Oryctolagus cuniculus: one gene and its partner. The protein of the gene in region 2 interacts with the protein of the main gene of each other region in a biochemical or structural test. Links are inferred from orthologs where the notes say so. Each region holds a gene or a part of one and is shown on either strand. Other genes may lie near its edges. The genes, in order: SIX1 and EYA2.

Region 1 (8,011 bases), on a different chromosome or scaffold from region 2:
CCACCGTTAAGTCGGAAAGCATTAAAAAAAATAGGGCCCAATGACAGTAATACACAACTCACCTTTGAGAAACAGAATCGTACTCCTGGTGTTCTACCAAGTTTTAATTTAGACTGGTTTAGGTACAATAGAAAAGAAACCTGAAAACACATGCTGTTTTAGTAACGAATACCAGGACGCCAGATCTGTCGCCACATTGTGCAAGCTGGACGCTGGGCACAGGAGAGCCCCGTGAGCAGGAGGCGGCTATGGGCTGACAGCTGTGAGCACAGGAGACCTAATGCATTCAGGAAAGTTATTTTTCACATTGGTACATTTTTAGAGTTTGTCACTTAAAAAAAAAAAAACCAAGAAAACAAACAACAACCAAAAAAAAAAAAACCCCACCAAATTTGACAATAAAACAGTTGTATCACTAATGTTGACTTCTATTCTAACTGCCTCACACTAGACAGTATTAAGACATTTAGGCACTTGGTTTTCCCCCTAATACTGTTCTTTTATTTTAATCTACATAAAATTATTTAACACTAAATATGAAAAATGTAAACTTAATTTTCCCATCATCAAAAAAAAAGTGGTATGATTATATTTTTCCTACTCATGTTAAGAATACAGCCAGTTCCTCCAGGCAGGAGGTTCCTATTTTCATAATTATTTTGACACCTCTCTCTCTCTCTCTCTCTCTCTCTCCATTTCTTTTTCCTCTTTCCAAAATAGTTTTCCTTAAATAAATTAAAAGAAAATAATTAAAATCCAGTTGACTTGCAATTCCTGTTCATTGGGGGGGAAAGAAAAGAAAGGTATTCGAAGAAGGTGCATTGGTCGCTCAGAACAATGCCTGGGTGCTTTTGTTTTTGGGTTTTTCCCCCCCTTGATCTCCACACTGGGACGGGAAAACGCAAAAGTGAAGGGTCAGAGAGAAGAGGGAGACTAAAGTTTGAAATCACCATCGGCTTCGATTTTTTTCAAGAGATATCTGTGGCAGTCCACCATTCCTTTATGCGCAAAGAACCCCAGAAACAAGCTGCAAGGGTGTTCCTGATTCCTATTTACAAGTGTCCCTAGTCGCTCTGGTTGGTTGCTGTTCCAGCCATCCCTTCAAGGCCCAGGGCCGCCCCCGCTTAGGACCCCAAGTCCACCAGACTGGAGGTGAGGGGGCCGAGCAGAGAGTCCTGCAGCTGGTGCTGGTGAGCCTGCAGGCCGTGGCTGGGCTGCGAGGCGGCTAAGCCCGGGAGGGAATAGTTTGAGCTCCTGGCGTGGCCCATGTTGCCCTGTAGCAGAAGGACCGAGTTCTGGTCTGGACTTTGCGGAGGTGAGAATTCCTCTTCTGAGCTGGACATGAGCGGCTTGCCCCCTTCCAGAGGAGAGAGTTGATTCTGCTTGTTGGAGGAGGAGTTATTGTTTTCCGTGTTCTCCCTAAGACAGACAGGACAACACCATATGGTTACAAAAAGAAAAAAAAAAAAAGTGTGAGCTGGAGGGAGGGGCGCTGGAAGGAGGAGAGGGCCATTGTGCAATCTGTCACCAACCCAAATGGAAGGGCTCTGCCGCCGTCGCCCCCCTCTCCACGGTCCCTGAGGGTCACAGAGGAGGTGAGGAGGCAGAAATTAGGGACACAGCCTGCCGCGGGGAGCCAGGTCTCTGTCATTCCCAGATTTCAGAAAGCCAGATGCACAGGTCTTACTTGCAACAAACAAAAAACGTGCCAAGGCCTTGCATTGAAACGCCTACCAACTAAGAGCACATTCAGACGTTAACGGCGAACTCTTCCAACAAATGGTTGTTGATGATAGAGAAATGGCCAGGGGACAAACGCAGCGCCCAGGGCACACATGTTTGGGGTACATCGAGTCAATTGCTCTGTTCCCATCTGCGGAAACAATTAAACGAGGAGCTTCCCTGCCCCCCTGCCCGGAGGTGGCGGGTTCGGAGGCACTGGACGGGTCACGGGAAGTGGTGCCCAGCGCGGCCCAGTGACCTGAGCAAACACAGGGAGCGCGGCCAGTCTCTCGGATTTCATCAGGGAGTGGGCCCTTGGGCCCGGCTTCTGGGATGGCGTTTTGAAAGTAAAGGCTAACTGGAACCTGCTGCCCTGCGACTTGCCCACTGCTCAGCCCCTCGCGGCCCCTGTCAAACTCGCCGCCGAAGCTCACCCCAGGCCAGTCCCCTCCGACCGGGGAGCGGAGCTGCCCGGCGCGCCCGTACGCGCGTCCAAGGCACCGAGTCCGGGTTAGCTCCAGGGCGGCGCTGCCCTGGACGCTTCCGCCTTCCAAGCGCTCGCGGGTCCTCCCCAAACCGGCGCCCGCCGCTCTCCCCCTCCCTTTCCCCGGCCCGCGGCCTCTCTCCCAGACAGCCCATTTCAGCTGAACGTACACGATCCCCCCCGCGGTTTTCCACCCCGAGGGGGAAAGAGGAAGCCAGATCTTCGGGCCCCCAGGCTTGGAAGCGAACAAAGGAAACCCAGCCGGCCCTTGCGCTCAGGTTTCCCCCAAAACTCCTCGGCTTCGCGGAGCGCTCTCCTCGCCGCCTTCCCAGTCTCGGTCGGAAACTCCAGCGCACGGATGGAGGCCGGCCAGGTGGCCGAGGGTGTTGGCGCTAGGAGGGGAGAGGCGGAGGCGGATTGGAAATAGATTGCCTTCTGCGCCCCAGGACCAGTGGCGTCTGCGCCTGAGACCCCTCCGTCGCCCCGGGCGGCGGCACGGACCGGGGGCGGACGGGCTGCGGCGCCCCGGCCACACTGCCAGGGGCGATCCCTTCTGGCTCGGGGCGCCGGGGCGGGGAGCGGTACCAGCGGCTCCAGCTCTCCCCCAAGCCCTCCTCGCTGTGCGTTTAGTTTAAAGACGCCTGCCTCCCTTTGTCCGGCTAGGGCGGAATGAAGCAGGCGACTCCCAGGCCGGAGACCAGCAGGACGTAGCGAGGGGAGAACCGGGTGGCAGGGGGGCCCAGCCGACGGCTCGGGGCGGCTTCACCGCTCCGCTCAGCCCCCGCCGACCCGCGTTCTCCGCGATCCCCATTCGACGCCTCCCTCGCCGTTCGTCCGGAGGTTCTCACCCTTCGCCCAGCTCCTGGCCGCAGCCGGCCGGGAAGGCTCCAAAAACAAATCTAGCGCCAATACTTCCCAACACCCACGACTCAGAGAGGCCCGCGCGCGGCGCTCAGAGCCAGCGAGGCCCCCGTCCCTGGCAAGCAACCTCCGAGTTCACGAACTTTCGCTGCGGAACCCGCCGAGGCCCGGGCGCCGCCCCGCGGACGCGCTCCCGCTGGCGGGGAGCACCGAGTGGCGGGTGCCTGCGGGGGCGGGGAGGGGCGGAGGGGTTGGGAAGGCTGCCCGGGGTCGCCCGAGCGGCGGGAACCACGCCGCGTACCTTTCCTTGGCCTCGGCAGCCCGGTCTCTTTGCCTCCGGTTCTTAAACCAGTTGCTGACCTGCGTGGTGGTGAGGCCGGTGGCCTCGGCCAGCTCCCGCTTTTCGCGCGGCGAGGGGTAGGGGTTGTGCGCGTACCACTCCCGCAGCACGCCCCGCGACTTCTCCTTGAAGCAGTAGCTGGTCTCCTCGCCGTCCCAGATGGTGCGCGGCAGCGGGAATTTTCGGCGCACCCGATACTTGCCCACGGCGCCCAGGGGCCGGCCGCGGAGCTTCTCGGCCTCCACGTAGTGCGCCTTCAGCCAGAGCTGCTGCAGTTTGGGATGGTTGTGCGGCGAGAACTGGTGGCTCTCCAGGATCTTGTAGAGCTCGCGGAAGTTGCCGCGGTGAAAGGCGACCACCGCCTTGGCCTTGAGCACGCTCTCGTTTTTGTGCAGGTGGTCGCAGGCGGGCAGCGACCACAGGAACCTGCCCAAGCGCTCCAGGTTTCCCCCTTGCTGCAGAACCTCGCACACGCACGCCACTTGCTCCTGCGTGAAGCCGAACGACGGCAGCATCGACATGGCTGAGGCCTGCCGGGGCGCGCGGCTCAGGCGCACGCGGCAGGGAGCAGAGCCCAAAAAGCGGCCGCTGGGAGAGGGGCGCGGCTGCTCCTAACCCCCTCCCCAGGCTTTGCGTGGAAGAGCGAGCGAGTCGGAACTTGGGGGGGTGGGCGGCCGAGGAAGACGCGGAGGAGCGGGGCGTGGAGGGGGGGGGGCGGGCGGCGCGCTGGACGCCGAGCGGCCGGCACACTCCTCAGCCTTCCGGGCTTCGCTGGCTCCGGCCTCCCGCCCGGTGGATGCTGCTCGTGGCCGGGGAAGTTGGTTTCTGTTCTCCCCGCAGCGGCCTTAAAGCGCGCAGCGTCCCCGGCTCGCTGATTGGCTGCCGGCGGCGCCTATCCGGGGCTGGCCTGCCCGCGCACCGCCCGGCCGGGCCGCTGGGCCGCACCGCCCCGCGCGGGGAGGGCGAGGCTGCCGAGCGGGGGGTAGGGAGTGGTGGGAGGCGAGTGACCAACCCTAAGAGGTGGGAAGCGAGGTGCGGCCGGTGGGAGGGAGCCGCGCTGCGGGGGTGGGGGAGTGGGCGAAGAGTCGCCGCACTGCAGCGCGCGCCCCCTCGCCAGTGTCATCTAAGGGGAGCCGCGCGCGTGTCCGCACGAATCAATGGCCCTGAGCGTTCTAATTCCCCTCCTCTCCCTCGGTGCTCCTGCCTCGGCCCCTTGCAGACTGGCCCTTTCTCGGTGAGCTCATATTTAATTACCTTAATGTTGGAATGAATAAATAATGGATTGATGAATAGCGTATGGAACGCGATAAATAATACAAGAACCGACCCGGGCTCTGGGCTGCGGGCGCTAGAGAAGTGGTTTCTCTCCCCGGGTTCGCTACAGCCCCAGGGGCCCAGCCTCGCCCCTCCCCACCCCCTTCCTTCCTCTCCCCTCTCCCCACCGCCTTCCGCGGGGCACTGGAATTAGCCGCCGGACCGCGTCCTCCGAGGGCCACCCGGGTTTGCGACATGGCGAAGAGCTGGTTAAAAGAGAGTCGCTTTTGTCGGGTGGCGACTTCGAGGGTTCGTGGCGTTCTGCGCCGTACAGGAGCCAGCAGGCTTCTAGCCTCAGTTTCTCAGCCGCGCGATCGCTCTCCCACGCCGCTTCTGCTACTGAGGAAAGCCTAGAAGCTTTGCTTGCCATTAGCAAAAATGCTTTGGGAAAGGCGCTGGACGGGGTGTAAATTAAATAAAACTGTGCCCCGGCTCCAGTAACCGTCGGTTGTAACGTAATCCTTTGCCCTGCTCTGAGAGGGACACTATCCTCAAAGGGACGCGGACAGTGGTTGCAAGAAGATGATTAAATAAAGACTGCATGTGCGCGTGTGCGTGCGTGCGTGTGTACTACCAGACAACAGAGATGTCTGGCAATTTCAGTCCCGTCATCTGCTATTTTGCTCCATGTGTGAAGAATGTGTAGTAAAACTGCACCAACAAATGAAGCTGTAATTATCTTAAGCCTCATTTGCACACCTTGTTCCAAAGCAATTATTAAAAAGATTCTGAAAACAATTAGCCTCTCTAAACAGAGATAATCTATTGTCAGTAGCTGAGACTGGCAGGAGATAAGAACAATGAGTGGAGATAAGGGAAGCCAAATGGTGGAAGGAGAAGGACTTTATGACTATACTTATCTCTGATTAGATAAGTTCAAAACAGAATTTTAAGTACACTTCAAAAATGCTTTTGATTGCAACGCGCCCTCTTAGGGGATGGAGAAGAACAAACCCTAGGCTCTTTAAACTTGCTCATCTTCTTTAAATATGTTTGGATTCCATCAGTCAAAGAGCCCTGCATTACAGAATCTGTAGCATAGAGAGACATAAGTGGCAGGAGGAGAGCCTGTGTGGGTTTCTCCTTGTATAATTTATATGGTTTTAAAATAATGCACCCCACCCAGTGCACCCTGCAATGTCCATGGTCAACTCTTACAGGTTTCCCACGTCAGCGCCGCCTCTGGGGAGATTCAAGCAGAGAGGGAGCTGCCTCCCTGCTGAACTCCTACACAATGCTTTCTGCAGCCTGCAAGCTCTCTGTATCCCATGCAATTAGACGCTGGAAGCAGATGCTGATATTTCATTACCTCTAGGCTAATTTTTTTTAAAAAAATGCATTTAATGGGTGCGTGTGGTTTCAAAAGAACCCCTGCCACATGGTACGCTCAGTGACTTACTTGCTAAACTAGAAGCCTGGCACTCTGAGTCCAAGGCCATGTGTCTGGTAATTTTCCCTCGCTGTCTTATTTTAGTGCCCGTGATGTTTTCAGATGAAGTCTTGAGGAGCTGCGGTGTCCTGCCAGAACGAATGTCTCTGCTTGGAACAGTCTTATTGACAACGCAGCTGTGTGAGGACCGGAACGGAGGCTTAAACCAGGCTCCGAAAATCAGCTAATACCCTAAAGTCTGGAGCAAGTGCGCACAATTATAATGGGGGTGGGGTGGAGGGAGGTCTTGCAGCACAGCCGAGTCCCTGAAAAGACAAACAGTGTGCTGAGTATGCGGTGTGCTTTGTAATTAACAATTTTGTATACGGAAATGAGGCATAGCTTGGACAAATAAAGGCAGGTATAAATTCTACAGGAGATGACAGCGAGCAGAGAGAGGGCGATTAGACGCCAGTAGGACCACCGCTGAAACCCTGCTTCCTCCAGACCTCCCTGCACACTTCTTCCCATCTCTCTTCAGAAGGAAGACGTGGGCGACCGCAGGGAAGACGGGGTGGGTTCTGTGATTGGTGAGGAGCGCCCGAGGTCCGAGGGCCGGTGCCCAAGCCCGCTGGCCCTTTTCTTGGCGTTTAATCCAACCGATCGCGTTAGCTAGAAAGGAAAGTGCTCTGCGCTTTGTTCCAAGGGTCCTACCTGCTATTTCGATCCCTCGGTTAGGGGAACCAATTGTTATAAATGTTAATTATTGGCTCGGATATATAAGGTTTCCCAAAATGGAACCTTTCACTGAAAACCACTAAAAGAGGTAAAATGACATGAATTTACAAACCGCATAAACCAAGCGATCCATTTTAAATCGCACACAGAAAGGTTTGGGTTGTTCTGGTAACATAAAACCTTCGCTGTCAATGCAAATCACACGAAAAACAGAGATGCGTCGGAGGCTTAAAGGGAACGAGCCCCTCCAGCCCGGCGGCGGCTGCGGGCACCCGACGCCGGGTTTCGGCGCTTCGGTGCCTCCCGGGGGCAGGTAAAGGCCGGGTGCGCTTCTCTGGCGGATGGAGAGGCCGACGAGGAAAGACAGGAGCTGCTGGGGTTTCTGAGCGGGCTTGACACAAGGCCTTAGCTCAAACCCCTCCAGCCGGGACCCACTCGCTTCCCTTCTGGCTTTGGAATTGAGAGGCTTGGGTGTCACCAGCCTGCTTTCTTGGAATTTCTTCGACCACGGGGATCCCACTTTACCTACAGATACTCGGAAGGGAAGGGCATCCAGAGGCGTTAATAAACCGGTGTCGTCGCTCTGGGACAGTGCGGAGACACCCCCTTCCCGCCCCCAACCCCGATCCGGGCTGCGGTGACGACGCTCAGCTTTTTGTCCTCTGCTTTGTCGGAAACTCCGGTGCCCTCGACCCTAGGGAGCCCGGCCTCGGCGGCCCGCGCGGCGCCGGAGCAGCCGCCCACCTGCTTTCGACGGGGACGCTGCTGCCCGCGAGGTCTGAATAGGCCGAGGGCTCAGGCAGGGCGATCCGCGGACCCAGAGAAGGGAAACCCAAAACCAGTCCATTAGTAAATGAGTTTTGTGTTGTCAAGGTTCTTTCCCATCCACTTGCTGGCCTGAAAAATAGATCACGTTTCGTTATCTTTAGTGAGAATCTGCAACGCGACACCGGATCCTCGCGGCCCCCGCCTCCCTCCCTGCAAGGCTGCCTCGCTCTGCCGGGCCGGGGGAGCCGCCGGCCTCCTCGGCTTCTTTCTGAACAATGAGGATTTGTGTGCTGCCTCGGCGGTGTGTGAGGACGGGTGGAGGGCGGGCGTTTTCGCCTGCGAGCGGGGAGCGCGCGAGCAGAGTCGCCGGCTTCCTTGGTGCGGCCCAGGCCGCCCCCCGCCCACACCTGGACAA
Region 2 (7,985 bases):
AAAGTCAGGTCGCCCTGTCCCCCGCGCGGCTGTTCCCCCTCCAGCTCCGCACTGGGGAGGAAATGCTGCAGTTTTAGCATTTCTCCTCGGGTCGCATTCACAGAGAGCTGACGATTGTCCTGTGAACGGCTGTTAAGTAGAGACGCTCAGATCTGCGGCAGAGCTGGGGATACACAGACTTAAAAACTCTGACATTCCCAGAAACTCAAAAGTTGAGAGCGGAGCGGGAGAAAGCCAGGGCCGGGATCACGCACACTGTCGCATTTTTGCCACAGCTCACGGGCTAGCAGACCAAGCCCTCTGGAACCTTTGTGAAACACACTGCTCGTTTTTTAGAGATGTTTGAGTTGGCATTATCACGCATCTGCATTCCTCTTCAATTTCTGCATCTATCCAAAAGCAGAGGCCGTGTTTTCCGAACGGCAGGAGTACACACATCTGGGCTCTAACCGCTATCACCCGGAGGCGGTGACAGCACAGATGGGGGCCCCTGTGCAGGCCAGCCCCCTCTCCCCCCACCCTGCAGGTCCTGCCCCAACCATGCCCCTCGGCCCCAACCGACGCACGGCCCGCCTGCTCCAGATTCAGGAAAGTGGCAAAGATGAGTCTCCCGGTGACCTGACTCTGGGGACCACCTGTGCCCGATTATTCTCTGCTCTCCAAATGTTTATTATCTGACCCCTAAACACTGCACCCGCAACCCTCCAGCACCTTCCGGTAAACCCGACTTGGGCTGCGTCTACCGTAACGTCAGAGGCTCTTTCGACTGCCTGCCGGTAACACTATTGACTCAGTTTAGGAACTGGAGTGCGGGGCATTAAGTATCGAAGGAACAAATCAAATTAGCCCTTGAAAACAAACAGCCATTTTCCCTTACCCAACCTGCTACCCATCCCGACTCTCAGAGGTTCGGATCTGCAGTTTCTAAACACTTCCCAAGATTTTAAGAACTTGTCGACGCAGCTTCAGAAAAAAACTGTGGGCCGCGCATTTAAAACCTTCCGTGTCCGGGAAACAATGGCATAGACGCTGCCAGAGCCACAGGTCCCACTGTTTGTGGCCGAGGCTTGCTCTGCAGCCAACGGAAGTCCCCCGTGGCTCTGCACAAGTCATCGGCCGTGGGACTCCGTTTCCTTGTTAACAAAGGTTGGATGAAAATTAAGACTCTCAGGAATCTTCCCTTTAAAACCCACGCGCAGAGCTGATTCCCAGCCTGACATCCGTGGACCCCTCAGCCGGCAGGAATTTAGCATCGTCGTGAAGGGCAAGGACACTTTGCAAGTGACAAAAACGGCCAGGGCACACAAGATGATGCAAGCAGGAAAATGCATTTTAAACAAAATGTAAAAACTGGCGACTTTCTTCATATTCTTTGGCCCTAAATACACCTGGCAGATACCTTCCTACCTGGAAACTGATTGCCCCTCTAATTCATCTATAGACAGAAGTCCAAGATGCATTTGGACACTTGCTTGTCTAAGTGCAGGAGGTTCACACTTGTTGGATTAGAAGGAGTGCTGGTCAACCACCATCAGGCCAGCTCAGAGCTTCCAACAATGAGAGCAAAGCATTGCTCCTGCAAATTCTCCAATTGTTCTCCTACCCGGGTCTCATGGCTGCGGGTTTAGCACTGTTTGAACCGCCACAAAGGAGAAAGGGGGAAAAGTGATCTGGGGGCGCGGCTCGGGGAGAGGCTGGGAGCGCAGGCGTAGGGGGCTGCGTGTTTCTGTTTTCTGTCCCCAGGCTGTGTTTTCTCGGGGCTGGGGCGAGTTCTCTGCACGGAGCTGCCTTCCAAGCAGGGTCCAGCGACTCCACTCCCAGAGCAGCTCACTAGAGAACGCATCATTCCACCGACACAACCCCGCACTGGCTCCAGAGGGTCCTGCCCCTCCCAAGCCCTGCAGCCGGAGAGCCACGTGCGAGGGCAGCACCTCCTTTCATGCGAAGCCTTTGGGGGAAGAAGTTCGTTTCTTCTCCAAGGAGTCCGCATCGGGCCAGCCTCGCTTTCTGTCGAGGGGCCAGGTGTGGAGGAGATAAGGGGCCATCTGACCCTCTCCTGCAGACTCAGCACAACCTGGGACCCAGAGACACCGTCAGCCGGATACGGAGTCTCCCTCCCGCTCCGGCCATCCCGGCAGACAGAAACCCCCAGGCCCCCGAAACACGCGTGCGTCTCCGAGTCATCCACACTCCCTTCTCTCCCCTGCCAGCCGCCGGCTCGCGCTCTCCCTGCCCCGAAAGGCATCTGCCGCGAGCTACTGGGAACCCCGCGTTTTCACCAGAACAGCCCGCGATTTTATTACACAAGGAGTTTATTGCAGGCCTAATTAGTCTCAAACTGGGCGTTCCGGCTGAGGACACCTAACACACATCTGGCGGAGAGCACGAGCCCTCCTTCGGAGCCTCTCGTGCCCGACGCAAGTTATCTTTGGAAAAGTCACTGAAAAAATAAGGAAACGGCTTCTTTGTGGGAAAGGAGTCATCTTGTCACGGGGGAACCAGGACTCGTCTTAAAGTGGACGCGCCTGCACGCTGCAGACTTAAACTGCCAGGTCTCAGCAGCTTCTGCTCCTAACTCAGGGCGCACTCAGCGGCACCACAGAGCCCTCGCCCAGGGCTTTTCCGTTCTCCCCGCGGCAGCCAGCGTTTTATCAATTTCCCCGTCTGGAACACGGCTTGCCATCGCTTCCATGCAATTTAAAGCAGAAGTCATGGCTGCTTAGTAGACACAGTGTGTCTCGGGTCTCGGGTGTTTTTGCCAAATCGTAATCCTGTAACAAGTCAACAAACCATCTCTTTATGACGTGCTTAACACAACATAAAAGGCATGAAAAGAAGATTTTAAAACTTAAGTATCTACAATATTGTTTTTTTTTTCTGTAAAGCCCAACGTACTGGTGTAGACATCTTTTTCTTTTTCTTGCCTTTCCTTAGTTATCTGATATCAAGAAAGTGATTTATGTGTTTATCCACACGGCCACTGTGCCGGGCGAGCTATTTGAGGATGGAGGAAAAGGGGGCCGCTCCTTTCAGATAAATCAGCGAGTGTCCTGAAGTCAGGAGCGAGACGGGGACAGGAGAAGCTGCTACAGAGAAGCCGACAGGGACAGGAGAAGCTGCTACAGAGAAGCCAGGTTGCTCCGTCGCTCAGCCTTCCCCGCAGGCCGCTGCTCACAAGGGCAACACTTAGCTTCCGCCAAAGGCACGGAGATTTTGAATCCAAACCCGGCCCTATGCTTTGTCCAAAGCAAGATTCAAACCGTCACCATTTGTACCGTACATTGCCTGTTAACCCTGCCCAGTCTGCCGAAGTCGGAAGAAGACGACGAAATAGAAGTTTGCGGGGTTACCGTGGTGGGAAGGGGGGCATTTCTTGGGTGAAATTCTTTCCCAAGGTTATTTTGAAAAGGAGTCTCCCCCCACATACACACACCCGTGTCTGCCCCCTTTTTCTCACATGGCGCCGTGGACACCCGCCGACGTGGATACCGGCTCAGGACTCAGACCCAGTCAATGCTAAGAACAGCCTCTCCCCCAAACCCCGGGCGCCCACGGCCTCAGTCTCAAGTGTAGCCGCTGCCCCTGCCCGGGGCCATGAGCCCCTCCAGGGAGGGAGCGACGACCGAACCAAGTCCTCACGGTGGCCCCGAACCCGCGGCCTCCGCCGTCCCCGGGCGCGCCCCGCCAGGCGGTGGCCCCTCACGCAGCACTTCAGGGACACGGGAAGAAAACGCTGTCCACCGCCGTGCAGCCCCCAGCCGGCTCCGGAGGGCGGCGGGGCGCTCGGGGCGCAAGGCGAGGCGCCCTCGCCGCTGCCGAGAAACGCGCGCCCAGGGTCTTTTCCCTGGCCGCGATCACGCGGGTTCCCCGGAGCTTGTCAGCGACTCCTTTCGGGATCTCGGGCCGCAGAGCCGTGCGACCTCCGGGCCGCGGGGCTCCGGGGCCGATCTGCCCCCCACTCTCTCCCCGTACAGGAAAGCCCTCGCCTTCCGCGAGTCGCCTTCGCGCGTGCAGTTCCCAAGTCCCAGCTCCCACTCAGCGGGCGCCGGGGCCGCGCGCTCCGCTACCACGCGCCCGGACTTTGCACGAGAGAGGTCGCGGGGAAGGCGAGGCTCGGCGGCCCGCTCCGCTCCCTCCGCGGTCAGCCACCCGCGCTGCCCTGGGGCGAGCTCCCGGAGCCCCTTCGGACCCGCACGGGAGCGCCTCCGCCACCTTTTCTTATTTTTGCGAACCGCCAGGACCGTAAACGCAACCAAACACGGAAGACCCAGCCCCGTCTACACCGCCTGCGCGCCGTGCACTTGTCCCGCGCGCGGGACTGCTAACTTCAGGGTCGCTCCCCCCACGCCCCGCCAAAGCGCACGGGGAAACTGAGGCTCGGGGCCTGAGGGGGACCTTCCCGAGACAGGGTCTGTCTGGTGCCCCCTCTGCCCCTGGACTCTGGGAGTGGCCCTGGGAGCCCCAGGCGCCCCCGAGCTCCCCGACAGCTGGGAGGCCCCGCTCGGCGAGCGCGGGACCGAGGCGCCGGGCGAGGGGATCCCGGGCAGTTCCCGCCCGGCGAGTCCCGGCGGGCGGCCCGGAGTGGGCGCCGCGGGCGGTACTCACCGCGCGCAGAGGAGAGGGCGCCCCGGCGCGGCGCGGCGCGGGTCGGATGCGGCGGGGCTGACTGCGGCCGGCGCGCTGCTGCCTCTGCTGCCTCCGCCTCCTGGGCTGCCGCGGCCGCTGCCTGCGCGCGGAAGACCGGCCCCTGCCCCTCCCTCGGCCGGGCCCTCCCTCTGCCCCCACCCGGGTCCCCGCACCGCTGCGTGGGCGCGTGGGGGCGCCGAGGCGCGGCGCTGGGCTCGGCCGGCGCACGCGGGGCGAACGGCTCGGGCCCTGCCGATGCGGCCGCGCTGCTCCGGGCGCCTGCAGCCGAGGCGAGCGCGCTCGGCCTCGCGGGTCCTGCCGGGGAGGCGAGCGCCCAGTCTCCTCCCCACCCAGCGGTCCCCAGCGCCGCCTGCCTCCCGGGGCAGCGCGTCCCCCTGCAGCCCGGGCAGGGCCCCTGAGAAAGGAAAGGCTGATGGGAACGAGTGCTCAGCCACGTCGCGGACACTCATTCATTCACTCACCCACCCATTCATTCATTCATTCATTCAGCGTGGATGGGGCCTCCACGTGCCTGCGCAGTGCCTGGCGGATTCCGCTGGAATCAAAACCCTGTTCTGCCCCCCTGGAAGTTACCTACACGCGGAGAGCCAGGCCTAACGCAAACACGCGAAGCCAGAGCAAGGCCACGCTGGGAACTGACCGCACCTGTGGCCCGAGGCGGTAATCCCAGCTACAGCAGTTCCGGAAGGCCTCTGGAAGGAGGTGACATCTGCATCAGGAGACCGTATCCGTGAGACGAGGGTTCACCCATTTCACAGATAAGGAAACTGAGGCCTCAAGAGTGTATTTCGATTACAGGGCCGAAATTAAGCCCCCCCCCCTTAATTCACCGTGGCCTGGCCACCGTGCAGTCTTTGCGGGGTTAGAGGTCTTCCACGGCGTCCGTGCACGCTCCTCTCCCCCTCAGCCACTGTCTAAGCTTATGAATTCCACTGTGGGACCTCCGGGCTCCCGTCTCAAAGCATCCTGGCCCGCCGTGGCCGTCTGTGGGGCTGCAGGAAGTGGGGAGGGCAGCCAGGAGGGTCTCGGGACGGAGCCTGGCGTGGAGTGCGCCCTCCGCGAGCCGTGGGGGTCGGGAATTCCGCCTTAACACAGATTTTTATTTGCTGCACCTGGCAGCCCTATGCCCCTCTAGACTGAACCAGCTTTTGCTGATCTCGCCTCATCCCCCCCTCCCCAAGACTCAAAGGTGGTTGAAGTTCGCAAGCCCATTTTACACGGAAGCCCAGCGGAGGCAGAGCGGCCGAGCCAGCGCTGAAATCCAGGTCTGGCCGGCTCCCAGGCCCTGGCTCTCGCTACTGAAGCGTCTTCAGCTCAGCCGCAAGGGGCCTGGGAACCCCAGGGGCGCTGGGCTCCCGGCCTCTGCACTTGCGAGGGCCCTGCCTCAGGGTCGGGGGGGGGCAGAGAAGCGGTCACGCGGTCACTTGTTCAGGTGCAGTGCATCAGCGTCACTGGCCCTCAGCTCCCAGCCACCAGCAGTGAAGACTGCTCTCCCTCCACGCTGCTCCCCACCTGCAGCCGAGTGCGAGGCCTGGGAGAGGCCAGAGGCAGCCTGGGATCCAGGCAGGGAAAGCTGGCCTGGGAATCTTGCAGTTTTCTTAACCGTTTTTCTCAACTGCTTAACTCTGTTGGGGTGGCGTTTAGCCTAGTCCTACTTCAGAGCGCCTGGCGTCTACTCCCGGCTCCAGCTTCCTGCTAACGTGTGTCCTAGGAGGCCGCAGCCATGGCCCAGGTAGGCGGGTCCCTCTCTGCCACCCATGTGGGAGACCTGGATTGAGTTCCCGCCTGCCGGCTCTGGCCCAGTGCAGTCCTGGCCAGTGGATGGAAACCAACTTCCTCCCTCCCTCTGCCGCCCCCTTTCCTCTCTGTCTCTCAAAGAAATAAACAAAAATCTGCACCGATGACTTCCTAATGTAAAGAAATATTCACTATTTAGTTCTGGATTCATAATCTTGCCTTCTATTTCTGAACAAGGAGCCCAAAACCATATGTGAGGGGCCATGAAAAAATTCATGGAAACGCACACTATGAATCTAAACGTTTCGGTTTGGAGCAAAAGAAACTTCTCGTTTTCCCACGAACTTCTGGAAGGACCCTGGACGGGTCCTGGACCCCTCTCTGGTCGCGGCTTACCCCCCCCGCCCTGCTTCCTGCTGCCCCAGCTCAGGGAGAAGCAAACGTGCCCATCCTCCTCCTCCACGCCCTGAGCAAAACGGCCACAGCCACAGCCATACATTGGACTCTTGCCTTCTCAAGGCCAAGCTACACATAAACTTGGCCTTGATTTTCCCTTCCCTGAAATGGGGTAGCAGCGCTCGTCCTGGATGATTGCTGTGAAGACTCACGGAGGTCATGCGTGTAAAACACTCCCTGCTGGCACGACGGCCGCCACGCACCATGGCTCGGCAGATGTGCTTCCCGCACGCCCAGCCCCTCCCCACAGCATCTTTGCAAACAGATGTGTTGCGTCTACCTTGGCCCGTGAACCTCGGGGCTATTTTTTTTTCCCTAAAGGAATAGACTGGCTTGGGAGATGGCAGGTGAACTGCGTGCAGCCGGCACAGTCATCCCTCGGCATCCGCAGGTGCTCAGGTTCCTTGGAGAGAGTGGCCCAGGCTTGCACAGAACCCACGCAGCCTCGGGGAAGCTCCAAGCCGCCTCTCGCTGACCTGCTGCACCTGCTGCCCGGATCCCACGTCGAGTGGCTGTGTAAGGTTGTGTCGGGAGTAACGACAGGGAAGCCACATCTGTCCATGTTCATACAGACGCACCGTTCTTTTTAGGAGATTTTGGATCCAAGGTTGGTGGAATCCGTGCCTGTGGACGGCGGATTGAATATGTTCATACATGGGTGTTCATGTCTACACGGGCTCTGGGCTAGCGTGTGAACTGTTTCTCCCTGAGGATCAGGGTGTGGGGAAATGCTCAACACTTAGGAACAAAGGGCCCCCATGGAATGTAAGGGGTTAACCCCACTCCCCCAGCGCCCATTACCCGATAATGTGCGGCCGCACCCAGGCCAAGAGAAGGCGGGGCAGGTGCTTCTTGTGGGTCCTTCTCTCAGGGCAGTGGACTTCAGCCCCCTGCCTGTTCACACCCCCAGAGGGGCTTTTAAAGCTCCCCCAGCCAAGGCCCCCAGCCCAGAACAATTGTACGCAACTCTGCAGGTGGGACTGTGGCATGGGCAGCTCCCAGCGACCCCAGGGTAGAGCAGAGGGCGAGAGAAGCCCCATCCTGGGGAGAGGGAAGCCTGACCCCACAGCACCAGCAGAGGGGTAGGAGCGGAGGTGGGACCAGAAGCCTCGAATCTTATTCGGGATCACGGGAAGCGCAGCCGC

The links.
Region 1: the proteins of EYA2 (region 2) and SIX1 form a complex in vitro, tested with the Homo sapiens proteins (2 studies listed by IntAct, with this or other methods). The link is inferred for Oryctolagus cuniculus from reciprocal best matches to the Homo sapiens genes EYA2 and SIX1.

Annotation. Positions count from the first base shown.
Region 1 is NC_091451.1:9,915,382-9,923,392, reverse strand, and holds the start of SIX1 (homeobox protein SIX1), read right to left. Parts: upstream 4,034-8,011; 5' UTR 3,929-4,033; coding exon 3,369-3,928; intron 1,420-3,368; coding exon 1,125-1,419; 3' UTR 1-1,124. UniProt on the Homo sapiens protein: Transcription factor that is involved in the regulation of cell proliferation, apoptosis and embryonic development. Plays an important role in the development of several organs, including kidney, muscle and inner ear.
Region 2 is NC_091442.1:12,761,064-12,769,048, forward strand, and holds the start of EYA2 (eyes absent homolog 2), read right to left. Parts: upstream 4,938-7,985; 5' UTR 4,606-4,937; intron 1-4,605. UniProt on the Homo sapiens protein: Functions both as protein phosphatase and as transcriptional coactivator for SIX1, and probably also for SIX2, SIX4 and SIX5.